Linked DNA regions of Oryctolagus cuniculus. The protein of the gene in region 1 purifies or fractionates together with the protein of each later gene. This does not show direct contact. Links are inferred from orthologs where the notes say so. Each region holds a gene or a part of one and is shown on either strand. Other genes may lie near its edges. The genes, in order: SRF, MYOCD and MRTFA.

The links.
Region 2: the proteins of SRF (region 1) and MYOCD purify together in Homo sapiens (affinity purification with western blotting; 3 studies listed by BioGRID and IntAct, with this or other methods). This does not show direct contact. The link is inferred for Oryctolagus cuniculus from reciprocal best matches to the Homo sapiens genes SRF and MYOCD.
Region 3: the proteins of SRF (region 1) and MRTFA purify together in Homo sapiens (affinity purification with western blotting; 4 studies listed by BioGRID and IntAct, with this or other methods). This does not show direct contact. The link is inferred for Oryctolagus cuniculus from reciprocal best matches to the Homo sapiens genes SRF and MRTFA.

What each region holds. Positions count from the first base shown.
Region 1 is NC_091436.1:126,878,364-126,882,628, reverse strand, and holds the start of SRF (serum response factor), read left to right. Parts: upstream 1-1,434; 5' UTR 1,435-1,781; coding exon 1,782-2,297; intron 2,298-2,494; exon of another isoform or gene 2,495-2,671; intron 2,672-3,912; coding exon 3,913-4,179; intron 4,180-4,265. UniProt on the Homo sapiens protein: SRF is a transcription factor that binds to the serum response element (SRE), a short sequence of dyad symmetry located 300 bp to the 5' of the site of transcription initiation of some genes (such as FOS).
Region 2 is NC_091448.1:56,827,200-56,830,742, forward strand, and holds part of MYOCD (myocardin), read left to right. Parts: coding exon 1-698; intron 699-2,870; coding exon 2,871-3,014; intron 3,015-3,543. UniProt on the Homo sapiens protein: Smooth muscle cells (SM) and cardiac muscle cells-specific transcriptional factor which uses the canonical single or multiple CArG boxes DNA sequence. Acts as a cofactor of serum response factor (SRF) with the potential to modulate SRF-target genes.
Region 3 is NC_091442.1:116,748,091-116,752,085, forward strand, and holds the start of MRTFA (myocardin-related transcription factor A), read right to left. Parts: upstream 2,804-3,995; 5' UTR 2,789-2,803; coding exon 2,330-2,788; intron 1-2,329. UniProt on the Homo sapiens protein: Transcription coactivator that associates with the serum response factor (SRF) transcription factor to control expression of genes regulating the cytoskeleton during development, morphogenesis and cell migration.

The DNA.
Region 1 (4,265 bases):
GGTGTGCGTTAGCAGGAAGCTGGGAAGTGTACCAGTAGCTAGGACTCAACCAGGCACTGGTACGGGCTGTGAGGCTCCCAGGGGGTGACTGAACCAATATGCCCCATATCTGCCCCAATTTTTTTTTTTAAATGCTGGTTGCAGTACACTAATGTCACTACCACTACCCCTGATGGCTCACAACTGTTTTTATTGAATCTTCACAAAGGATTTTTAAGGCAGGAGTCACCAGGATGTTTATGCCTGGGAAGAGGTGACTTACCCCAGGTTGCTCTTAACTCTTCCCTGACCACTTCCTCTGCTCTTGGGTCTTTTTCTCATGGAACCTGTGTTAAGAATCTCGTGGTCTGAGGAGTATGGAGTTTGGAGAGATCGACATCCCTTGTTTCACAGGGCTAGCAAGAGGCAGATTGCAGATTGGACTAACTTCTGTAACAGCGAAGTCCAACCTGATTTCACTGCATTGAGGCAAGGACCCGGACTCAGACCCTTAGCTTGGGCCTCATACCACCCCATCTCTTCACCTTTTCAATCCCCTACCTCCTTGGGCTCCCCGAGCCGACTTGCTTGAACTCAAGCAAGAGCGTGCTTGGCTTAAACTTTCTGCCCCCCACGCTTTCTCCCGCGCCGCCCGCGCCGTGGGCCATCCCCTCCCCCAGCCCAGCGTGCAGCTGGAAGTCTTCACCGCTCTCCATCTCTCCTCCCTGCCCCCATCGGGGACGAGGAGGCCGGCTGTCCGTCTCCCCCGCCTTCTCCAGATGTAAGTACGTCTACCAAAGACCCCCTAAGTGCAGAGGATGATGAATGAGGACCGGGGGCCGGCCTGGTGGGAAAGCGCTGTCCCCTTGAAATGCGAGGGAAAGGGAAGGGGGTTGGGGGCTGGGCTGGAACCCGGAGCGGCTGGACGCGATGTCCAAAACACCTCGGATCCAAGCCCCCGCTGCTCGGCCAGTGACTTTTCCTCCCTCACGAAGGCGTGAGGAAACGCTCCCGTCTCTGTCGTTGCAATCTGGACTGTGATTTCTTCATTTACAGCAAACCCCCCAGTCCACTCGGGGGCTCCCTCAAGTTTGCTTTCAGCTCCCTCTCCGCGGCGCTCCGGTCCTCTGCCAGGCAGCCCCTCCGCAGGTCCCTCCCAATTCTCCACCATTCTCCGGTTGGGGGGTTAGGGGGCGGAGTCTTGCCTCGCGTCCTGTTCCTTTAAGAGGCGTCGGCTCCTCCCCTTTCGGAATCGCGGTCTGACGCGGGATGACAGCAGCGAGTTCGGTATGTCTATGCAAATAAGCGCCTCCTGCGGGCCAATGGGGAGCGGAGGTGCCGGAACCGCGGACCAATAGGGCGGGGGCGCTGGGGCTCACCATATAAGGAGCGGCCTCGCCATAAAAGGAAACATTGTATCTCTTTATATGGGGGGAAGGGTCGGGGGATCCCTCCGCCGCCAGCGCGTGGTCCCGGCCCCCTCCACCCGCCGTCTCGGCCGCGGCCAGCAGCCCCTGCCCCCCGGGGGACGCTGACGGCCGCTGAGCGCGCCGCCCTAGCATACGGACAGGGGGCGCTGCGCGCGGCCTGGGGCAACCCGGGCCACAGGGGCAGGAAAGTGAGGGCCCAGGTCGGCCCGGGCGTGCAGGGGCCCCGGGTTCGCAGCGGCGGCCGCGGCAGGGATAGCGGCACCAGCAGCAGCAGCAGCGGGAGTGCCGGGTTTCGCCGGGAAGCCGATGGCGGCGGCGGCGGCGGCTCCGATCCCTCGTTGACTGTCCGTCCGCCCTCCTGCATTGAGCGCCATGTTACCGAGCCAAGCTGGGGCCGCGGCGGCTCTGGGCCGGGGCTCGGCCCTGGGGGGCAGCCTGAACCGGACCGCGACGGGGCGGCCGGGCGGAGGAGGCGGCGGCGGCGGGACTCGCGGGGCTAACGGGGGCCGGGTCCCCGGGAACGGCGCGGGGCTCGGGTCGGGCCGCCTGGAGCGGGAGGCTGCAGCGGCGGCGGCGACGACCCCGGCGCCCACCGCGGGGGCCCTCTACAGCGGCAGCGAGGGCGACTCGGAGTCGGGCGAGGAGGAGGAGCTGGGCGCGGAGCGGCGCGGCCTGAAGCGGAGCCTGAGCGAGATGGAGATGGTGGTCGGTGGGCCCGAAGCGTCGGCGGCCGCCGCCGGGGGCTACGGACCCGTGAGCGGCGCGGTGAGCGGGGCCAAGCCCGGCAAGAAGACCCGGGGCCGCGTGAAGATCAAGATGGAGTTCATCGACAACAAGCTGCGGCGCTACACGACCTTCAGCAAGAGGAAGACGGGCATCATGAAGAAGGTACGGAGCCGGCAGGCTGCCGGCCGCGGGGAGCCCCGAGGGGTGGGGACGCGCAGGGGGAGCCCTCAGGGAGGCAGCGCCGAGGCGGAGGTGAGAGGCGGCGAGTCTGCAGGAGGTGTGTGGGAGGGGAGGGCGCGAGGGGAGGGGCTGTCGGGGAAAAGTGGGGAGAGGGGAGATGCGCCGACGTCCGGAATTGAGGGAAAGGGCGCCGAGGTGGGAGTGACCGGCGCGAGAGAGGAAGAGGCCCTGGCCGAGTGAAGGGGCCGAGGAGCGGCGGCCCGCGTGTTGGGTGATGAGGCGCGGGAGCCTGTACGGGTCCGGTGCACCCTGGGGTTCCATGGAGGGCGCCAGGAAAGCGGGGAGCAGAAGAGCAGGTATGGAGGTGAGCAGGCTGGAGCCTGCGTGGGACGGCGGTGGGCACCACTGGAATGGTGCTAGCCGGGACGACAGGCGAGCGGAGGGACCAGGTAGGGGAGCGAGGCCGGAGGCTGGCTGCCCGCTGCCCTGTGCCTTGCACTGCATCCACAGGCAGGACTGGCCGCAGACCTGCCTGTCCTGGGGGACCAGTGGGGTTCCCAGCCTTCAGGAGAATCTGTGCGTGGAGTTTTGGGGGGGGGGGAATCTGAGAGGTTTGCACAGGGACCTAGAAATTTGCCAGTTACCCAGTGAAAAGTGGTGAGGAAAGGCGTCATTTTGGGGGGGTTGTGAAAGATATGGGAATGGATAGAAGCAGAGGAACTGGGAAAGAAAAAAAAAAAAACACTAGAACCTTGGGAACAGTGACTGGTGTTTTTGTCTGTCCCATATGGAAATCCAAACTGCTCCTAAGGTGGGTTGTGCAACTTTGTTGGGATGGTTGATAGCATCCCTGGGGGTCCCTTTCCTGGGCTCATGGCAAGGTATTTGTTGCTAATACAGCTCCCACCTGCCATCACCTTACATACTCTCATATTGGTGTCCCTTGTCACTTGATCATCAGTGGGGAGGCTGTGGGGAGGTGGTTCATGAAGGGAAACCCCCCTGCCTCCCTCCCTCCCATCCTTCTTCCTTCCCAAGTCAAAGAAAAGAGTAGCACAGTATGCTTGGGTAGAAAGAGAAGTTAGGGCATGGCAACAGGTTAAGGCCTCTGTGGTTCCTGGGCAGAGCTATGGGCAGTCTTAGGTGAGTGCTTATCACGGATGTCAGGTGTGCAGTCCAGTCTGGTAGGGGTCTCTCCTGCTCCCTGTGACTGTGGGGAAGGGGTGGGGGGTCTGTGAAGCTCCAGGCACCAGGCAGTGTTGGGGGGAGGCTGACTGCCTCTCCCCCTACCCCCTGCCGTGTCCCCTGAGGTTATATATTCCATCACTGGCGAGATGTGACTGTTTGCTGGGGGTGTCTGTGGGTCACTGGGGCTGCTCCTCAAAGGAAGAGGACCTGAGTCCTCTTGCTGCTTCAAGCTCACTTTCAGATATCATGATAGGACCCCCCCACACACACACTGCCAGTCACTCAAACAAAAGGTCGTTATGGGAGTGGGAAGTTGCGCTCACTGAGTAGTTTTCCCCTCTCCTACTTCCCAAGGAAGGTAGAAATCAACAGTTTTGCTGACCTGCCCATCTCCCTCCCCATCCCCCAGGCTTATGAGCTGTCCACGCTGACAGGGACACAGGTGCTGTTGCTGGTGGCCAGTGAGACAGGCCATGTGTATACCTTTGCCACCCGCAAACTGCAGCCCATGATCACCAGTGAGACCGGCAAGGCGCTGATTCAGACCTGCCTCAACTCGCCAGACTCGCCACCCCGCTCAGATCCCACCACGGACCAGAGAATGAGTGCCACTGGCTTTGAAGAGACAGATCTCACCTACCAGGTGTCGGAGTCTGACAGCAGTGGGGAGACCAAGGTGTGTTTGGATCGCCTGTGCGAGGGGAAGGAAGGGTAAGGGGGTCCCACTCCCTCCCCAGTCCAGGACTAGCGCACAGGGGCCCA
Region 2 (3,543 bases), on another chromosome or scaffold:
CCAGCCCCCCCATCTCTCCTGCCTCCTCCGACCTGTCGGTGGCTGGATCCCTACCCGACGCCTTTAACGACGCCTCCCCCTCCTTCCTGCACCCGTCCCCAGTCCATGTCTGCACAGAGGAAAGTCTTATGAGCAGCCTCAATGGGGGCTCTGGGCCTCCGGAGCTGGACGGGCTGGATTCTGAGAAGGACAAGATGCTGGTGGAGAAGCAGAAGGTGATCAATGAGCTCACCTGGAAACTGCAGCAGGAGCAAAGGCAGGTGGAGGAGCTGCGAATGCAACTGCAGAAGCAGAAGAGGAACAACTGTTCTGAGAAGAAGCCGCTGCCTTTCTTGGCTGCCCCCATCAAGCAGGAAGACGCTGTCTCCAGCTGCCCTTTTGCATCCCAACCAGTATCTGTGAAAAGACAAAATAATGGATCGGAGAGTCAACCGCCAGCTTGCGAGACTGCCCAGCTCCTGCCCCTTGGAAACACCCATTGTGTGGAGTCCTCAGGTCAAACCAATGTACTTTCTTCCACGTTTCTCAGCCCCCAGTGCTCCCCTCAGCATTCGCCACTGGGAGTGGTGAAGAGCCCCCAGCACATCAGCCTGCCCCCATCCCCCAACAACCATTACTTCCTCCCGTCATCTTCCGGGGCTCAGGGAGAAGGACACAGGGTCTCCTCGCCCATCAGCAGCCAGGTGTGTTCTGCCCAGGTAAGAATGGCTTGTACCAGGGGCCACTGCTCTCTTCGTTCAGGGAATGTGAAATGGATTCCCTTGGAGATTTCAATGCTAAGGTTTACCAAAAGCCCAGCAGGAAATCCAAACACTCCAAGCCATCACAGCAGACCAAACTCACCTGTCCTCCAAGACAGGGCTTGGCAGGCTTGTTCTGTGAAGGTCCGGATAGTAAATACTTTGGATGTTGTGGGTTATACCATCTGTATCACAACCATTCAACTTTGCTCTTGCATCATGACAGTAGCCATGGACATCTTGTAAATGATACACATGGCTATGTTCCAATGAATCTTTATTTTCAGAACCAGGCAATGAGCAGGAATTGACTTGTGGGCTGTGATTTACTGACCTAGCTCTCAGGACTCTTGGTATCAAACCTTACCATGGGCCAAACCAATTCATCAGGATGGCCAAGGGAAAAGTACCAAACCATACTCTTCCCCCATGTAATAGTATACACAGTGTATTAACTGAGCACCTACTATGTGCTGGGCCATGACTCTAGCTAGTTTGAACTAGCTAAACAAATGGTAAGCAAAAATAAAATGCAAATCATGCATTGTATTAAGCACAGAGGTGTATATGAGGGGTTTGGAAGTTGCAACTTTAAATCGAGGAGCCAGGGACATTTTAGCAAAATGTTGCTAGAGATAAAAGAGAAAACTTAACGAATATTGGGATGAAGGCATTGAAGGCAAAGAAGGAGCATCAAGTGTGAGGGCCCCGAAGTGAGAGTGTGTGGGAAGTTGGAATCAGAAACATGGCCAGTACAGCTGGGACAGAATGAGAGGAGTTGTAGAGATGGCTTACAAGAGTTACTAATTCCAAGACTAGACGAGGGGCTCAGCAAAGACTCCTTGTGTTCATGAAGGTGGAAAATTATAAGGAAAGTCTGTCAGAAGTCAATTTGAGAAAAAAATTAATCAAGGGGTCTTCTAAAAGTTTATGGAAAATGTGTATTATGCAGAAACAAACTATGCATGGGTTTCAAAATATTTTCATTAAAAGAAATGTATCTTTTAATTCCATTTTCCACAATCTTTTTGAACTGTGCTTACGTTATCAAAACCTGAAACCTACATTACCCAGAAAAAAAATTCCTGCCACATTTCAAGTAGCAATGAGATGTAAGTATCTCATTAACGTCACAGTGATCCTGTGTGCTCCAATCTGTTGTTCAATAATTGCCATTGAGGAAAAGGAAGCTGATAGAGATTAGACCACTTGCCCAGGACCACAGGAACCCAGGGTCTGTTGAGTCTAAAGAACTTGCCCTGTTCACATTGGGTATCTCTACCCTGTCAATATGCACTCAGCTCAAGGTAAAGAAAATGAATGTTAGCAAACCTAGCAGAATAACACATTAAATCAGTGATGCCCACTCCTCTGAGGGTACTCTGGGAAGAGTTGAGACTTAAAGGGGCTATCATCATTGTTAACAAACATGTGTTCAGTGCATAGTATCCTACGCACCAAAGACAAAAACAAAAAAAAGGGGGGGGGGGCTCAAGACAAAGTTCTGGGCCATAACTTTCCATTCTGATGATATTGGTGCTATCAAAAAGACCAGCATGTCTACAGTGATTTATGATTTACAAAGATTCTCTGAAGACATTAACAATTCGATGATCGCAAGATGAAGATCAAGATAGGATAACACAACTGCTCTGTACTTAGGACATCAATGCTGCACAAAGTAGGTGGTGGTGAGTCAGGGCACAGATTGATCATAAAGGGCTGGAAATCTCTAGGGAGAGTTTGTAAAGGAAACGGACTGTCCAGGAAGCGCCACATTAAAAAGGAAAGAGAAAGCAGGAAAGGACATTCCACGTGGACAGATTTAGGGGGTAGGATGTTGAGGGATGCTCGTGGTGGGAAGAGTGGAACTGAGGTTTGTAGAAGTGATGGCGCCAGTACCCAGGTTACGAATGGAGACTGCATGCTGTGGATACCCCAGAGCCCTTGGAAGTTGGTGAGTAGTAGGTGATTTGTCCAAACTCAGGTTTAGGCAGGTTCATCTGATAATGGACTTCAGGAAGGTTTGCAAAGGTAAAACACCAGGCACACAGGCCAGGACCACAGAGACCACACACAAGGAAGTGTTCTGCTGCTGGCCATTTAATTTGTCACTTCTGCCTTTCCCAGAACTCGGGAGCACACGATGGCCACCCTCCAAGCTTCTCTCCTCAATCTTCCAGCCTTCACCCCTCTTTCCCTGGAGCCCAGGCAGACAGCAGTCACGGTGCTGGAGGCAATGCTTGTCCCAAAAGCCCAGGTGTTCCGCAAAAGGTGGGTACCAGGAATCAGGTTTAAATCTGGGATCCGCTTACCCTCCAAAGTGAATGATGAGATTCAGAGACAGCAGTAAATTTCATTTCAGAAAGAATCAAGTCCACTCAAGGTACATTGAACCAGATGTATCCCTAGGGAGTTATTTTCTGGGGCCAACTCAGAAATCATGATTAAAATGGCCATGGTTTATTTGCAAACCACCGCGGACAACCAGGCAAGTTTTGTGTTGAAGTTTGGAAGAGGGGCACAAGGGATAATAGTGTTGGAGAAAGAAAGAAGCATAGAGTTCCAGGAAAAGGACTGGCGAGGAGCAGAGAGATAAGGTCATAGTGCAGTATCTTTGAGAAAAAGGAAGAGATGACATAAATTGATCGGTAGAAGGAGTCACGAGTGTGAAGGGTCCAGAGATCCCTCCTCCTTGGGGAACTCCAAGGAGCAGTGAAGATGTGGCAGGAAAGAGACAGATATAAGCTAGTCATAGCAGGAAAGTGCCACCTGCCACAAGTCACAGAAGGAACAGAGACCT
Region 3 (3,995 bases), on another chromosome or scaffold:
GAACCCAGCACCCATATGGGATGCCGGCACTGCAGGCGGAGGATTAACCAAGTGAGCCACGGCGCCGGCCCCCCCCACCCCGACATATGCTTTCAAATCAGATTTAAGTCCTCACTCACTGTATGAGCCTAAACAAGTTACCTGCCCTGAACCGCAGTTTGCCTCTCCTAGAGACAGGGAAAATCAGCCTCACAGGGGCTTGGGAAGGCTGAAGCAGCACATCACAAGATGAGCTGAAGGCCTGGGGCACAGGGCGCATCAGGAATGCCAGTTTCCTGCCTCTCCCTGGGGCTGGGAAAACCTTCTGACCTCAGCAGCTCTCTTGGAGCCCCTCAGCTCAAACACCATCGTCCCACACAGCCAGAGAAGGGCCCTCTAGCCTCTCCTACAACCCCGGGCTTGCGGCCACAGTGCACGCCCTGTTTACAACCCTCCGCCCCTCCTACCCCTCCCACTGCTGGGAGCTGCTCACAAGCAGGGACATCTCGCTATCCTGATGACCCCTGCTCTCGGAAAAATACCTGGCACATTCGAGGGGTGGAACAAAAGTCTACAGGTGAGGGGCCAGCATCGCGGTACAGTGGGTAAGCCACCTCCTGAGACACGCGCCAGTTTGAGTCCCGGCTGCTCCACTTCCAATTCAGCTCCCTGCTAATGCACCTGGGAAAGCAGTGGAAGATGGCCCGAGTGCTTGGATCCCTGCCACCCATAGAGGACGCCCAGATGGAGTTCCAGGACCCTGGCTTCAGTCTAGCCCAGCCTCGGCTGTTGCAGCCAGCTCAGGACTAAACCAACAGATGGAAGATCTCTCTCTTTCTCCCTCTCTCTTACTCTGCTTTTCAAATAAATAAATAATTTTTAAATAAAAGTCTGCTAAATGAATGCACAGCGTCGTTATCTAAGCAGGACCCACCGTCACTCCTGGGTGACCCAGGTTTTACAGCTTTGCCCTCACAGGCTGAGATCCTGGTTTATGCCCCGAGTCCCTCCCTCGCAGAATCTGACAGCACTCGAAGGACGTGGCAAGTCTGCAGTTGATACTTCTGGATGACGGGGTGTGATTCCAGCATCTCTCCTGATTTAACTCTTAAAAGGCGCACACACCCTAGTGGGAATGACTCTTAGCCTTAGCAGTTACCAGCAAGGACCAGGAGCAAGCGCTGCCGCTACCCCCAGACGCCTCCTTCACGTGTTTATCATTTCAGTAGAAAGCATCAGAAAGCCCTTTGACTTGCAGTGAAAAACGCAAAGGACATCGGGCAAAGCTTACGTTCAGCGACTTCCAGGGCCAGCCGGGCACCTCCTCACTGCTTCCCGCAGTGCCACCCGGAGTTCTGGGGCTCCCCTGCAGGGAAGCCCCTTACTGAACATGCAAGCTGTCCTACAAGCTCCAACTTCCTGCAGAAGCGATCTCAAACGCTGGCAAGCTGGGGACATTCCGAATTTGAAACTGTGTGAAAACGTGGCACCGTAGGTGGCCACACACCTCCCGCTCCTGCCTGGGAGGCGGTTACCTGGGGACCAGGCCGCTCTACATAACACGGAGAAAACAGAGAAATCCAGCCAGAGGCACCACAGCCCGGCCCTTAACTCAACCTCACAACAGCTAACAGCTCCTGGGCCCTGACTGCGCGCCAGGCTCAGATCCGATGGACACGACTACCCCCATTTCCCAGATGAGCAACCCGAGGCTCAAGCTGGCCACTGGCAGATCTGGGAGTCGCCCCGCAAGGTCCAGTCCCAGCTGCTGCACAATACCAGTGCTTCTCCCCTTTTTTTTTTTTTCGTGGTCCCACCGAGGGGCGCAGGGTCAGGCGAGGGGCTGTCAGCAACGCGCACTGACGGACGCTTTCTTACGAGGCTGAAGTTCTCGGCTTGCAAGTTTCAAACCCGCACAGGACCCTGCCCACCTGGCGGGGTTCGGGCTGCCACTCAGGCATCCAGCCCTGATGCGTCTCCTGGCCCGGAGATCCCGAGGGTTGCACAGAGCGCGGGGAACCCCGCCACCGCAGCCGCTGCGCGCACACACCCGGGGCGCAGCCTGGGCGGGAACCCCCGCGCCTCCCCGCCCAGCGCAGCGAGGCGAGGCGAGGCCCGGCCCGGCCCGGCGGGTGCACAGGTGCAAGGCTGCGCCCGAGCGCCCCGGCCCGCGACCCCCGCCCCGACGGACGAGAGGAGTGGGAGCGGCGGGCAGCGCGGGGAGGACCGGCGACGCGACGCCCGCACCCCGGGGGCGCGCGCGGCGTGGCCGCGAGGAGAAAGGATGCGCGGGGCGGCGCGGGGCGGGGCGGCGGTGGGGGAGGGGTCCCCGGCCCGGACTCCCACTCACCGCGGCGCTCTCCTGGCCCGGGCTCCGCGGCTCGCCCGGCTCGGCTCCGGCCGCTCGCGGCTCCTCCCGAGGCTCACCGTCCAGGCAGGGCGCGCGGGGCCGGGGAGAGGTCGGCGCGCGCCGAGGGCGTGTGGCGAGCAGAGCCGAGGGGGTGGGGAGGCAGGGCCGGTCGCGCTCGCCGCCGCCGCCGCCGGGGCCACCACAGACACAGCCGCCGCCGGCTCCTCTTAGCCACGGAAGCTGCGGGCCCTCCCACCACAGCCGCCTCCCGCCTCCCGCCCCGCCCCGCCGGAGGAGTGGCAGCGCAGCTGGCCAATCAGAGGCCCAGTCGGGGCAGGGCTCCGCGGCCCAGAGGGGCGTTCGGGGAAGGAAGGGGAACGAGGGAGGAGGGGACGGCGGCGCGACTTCCTGTGACTGACAGCGCGGCGCAGCCAATGGGCGGCGGGGAGATGACCTCATCGCGGAGGGAAGTCTGGAACTGGCGGAGCGGCTCTGAGGAGGTGGGAGGAGGTCGGACCTTAAAGAGGCCGCAGCCCCTGGCCACCCTGTCAGGGGAAGGGCGGCGGGCCGGGTCGGACAGCCGAGTTGCCGAGGGGTCAATGCCCTGCCGCGAGCCTCCAGACCCCATCCCGAGCCTCCCCTCAGGGGCTCACGCCCCGCCTGAGGCTCCCGAGTCGGGGTTTCACGGTCACGCTTCCCAGAAGACGATCGATTCCCTGAATTCCCGGGCCAGCCCCCGCCCCACCGAGGCCCCGGCGCCCCGGCCCTCGCAGTCGGTCTCCCCAGGTGGGAAGGGGGGCTCCTCCTGACACCTGCCGACCCCCTCCGCCCCGGGGAAAGCGCTCCGGGCTTGGGGAGGGGGCGGCGCGGAGTGAAGCCCCGAGCTTGCGGTCGATCGGGAGACCCCAGGAGCGGGCCAGGGAGGCCGGTGCGGCGGAGGTGTGAGGGGGCCCGAGACCCTGGTGCGGGACTTGCACAGGGAGCGGGAACGCGGGCTACAAGGCGGGCGAGGCCCCCGCTCGCTCCGCACCCTGCAGCCGCGGAGAAGGGCACGGAGCTCCGACCTACTGGGGAGGAAGGGGAGGGGGCGCTTCCCGGAGGCTTCCTGGGATGGGGTCCTCAGGCAGCTGGAGGAGGGGCGAGCAGGGTTTTCTAGGTTCCTGGAGGTCCGGTGCCAAGGCCCAGCGGCTGAGAAGTGGCGCTGAGAGTGAACTCTTAGGAGGACCCCCATCCTCCTCCTGCGGGCTCCTGGGCCTGCGTGCTGGTGTGGGTCTCAGATGGGGGGCAGGGGGGCGCCGCTGCCGTCTGCCAGTGCTGCAACAGCCAGGTGGCCGGGACATTCCGGATTGTTCATGTGTAAGTCATCGTCGGGGCCAGTACCACACGCTGGAGTTAGGATCCACGTGTCAGACACTTTTCCCCCAAGGCAAAAGCACCCTTCCACAAAAGCCCTGGCCAAAAAAAATGAGTTATTCCACAAATATTTACCCTGAGTAAGTCATGGTGCAGGTGATAGAGAGATAAGCTGCCGTGGCCGCCCTGGGGGTGAGCCCACCTCCCTGCAGGGAGGCGGAAGCCGGTGCCCTGGTGACTCCGGGGCAGGAGTGTCTACAGCAGGTGTCCCGAGGACAGTGGACCTGGGAGAAAGGACTGCTCCTGGAACTAT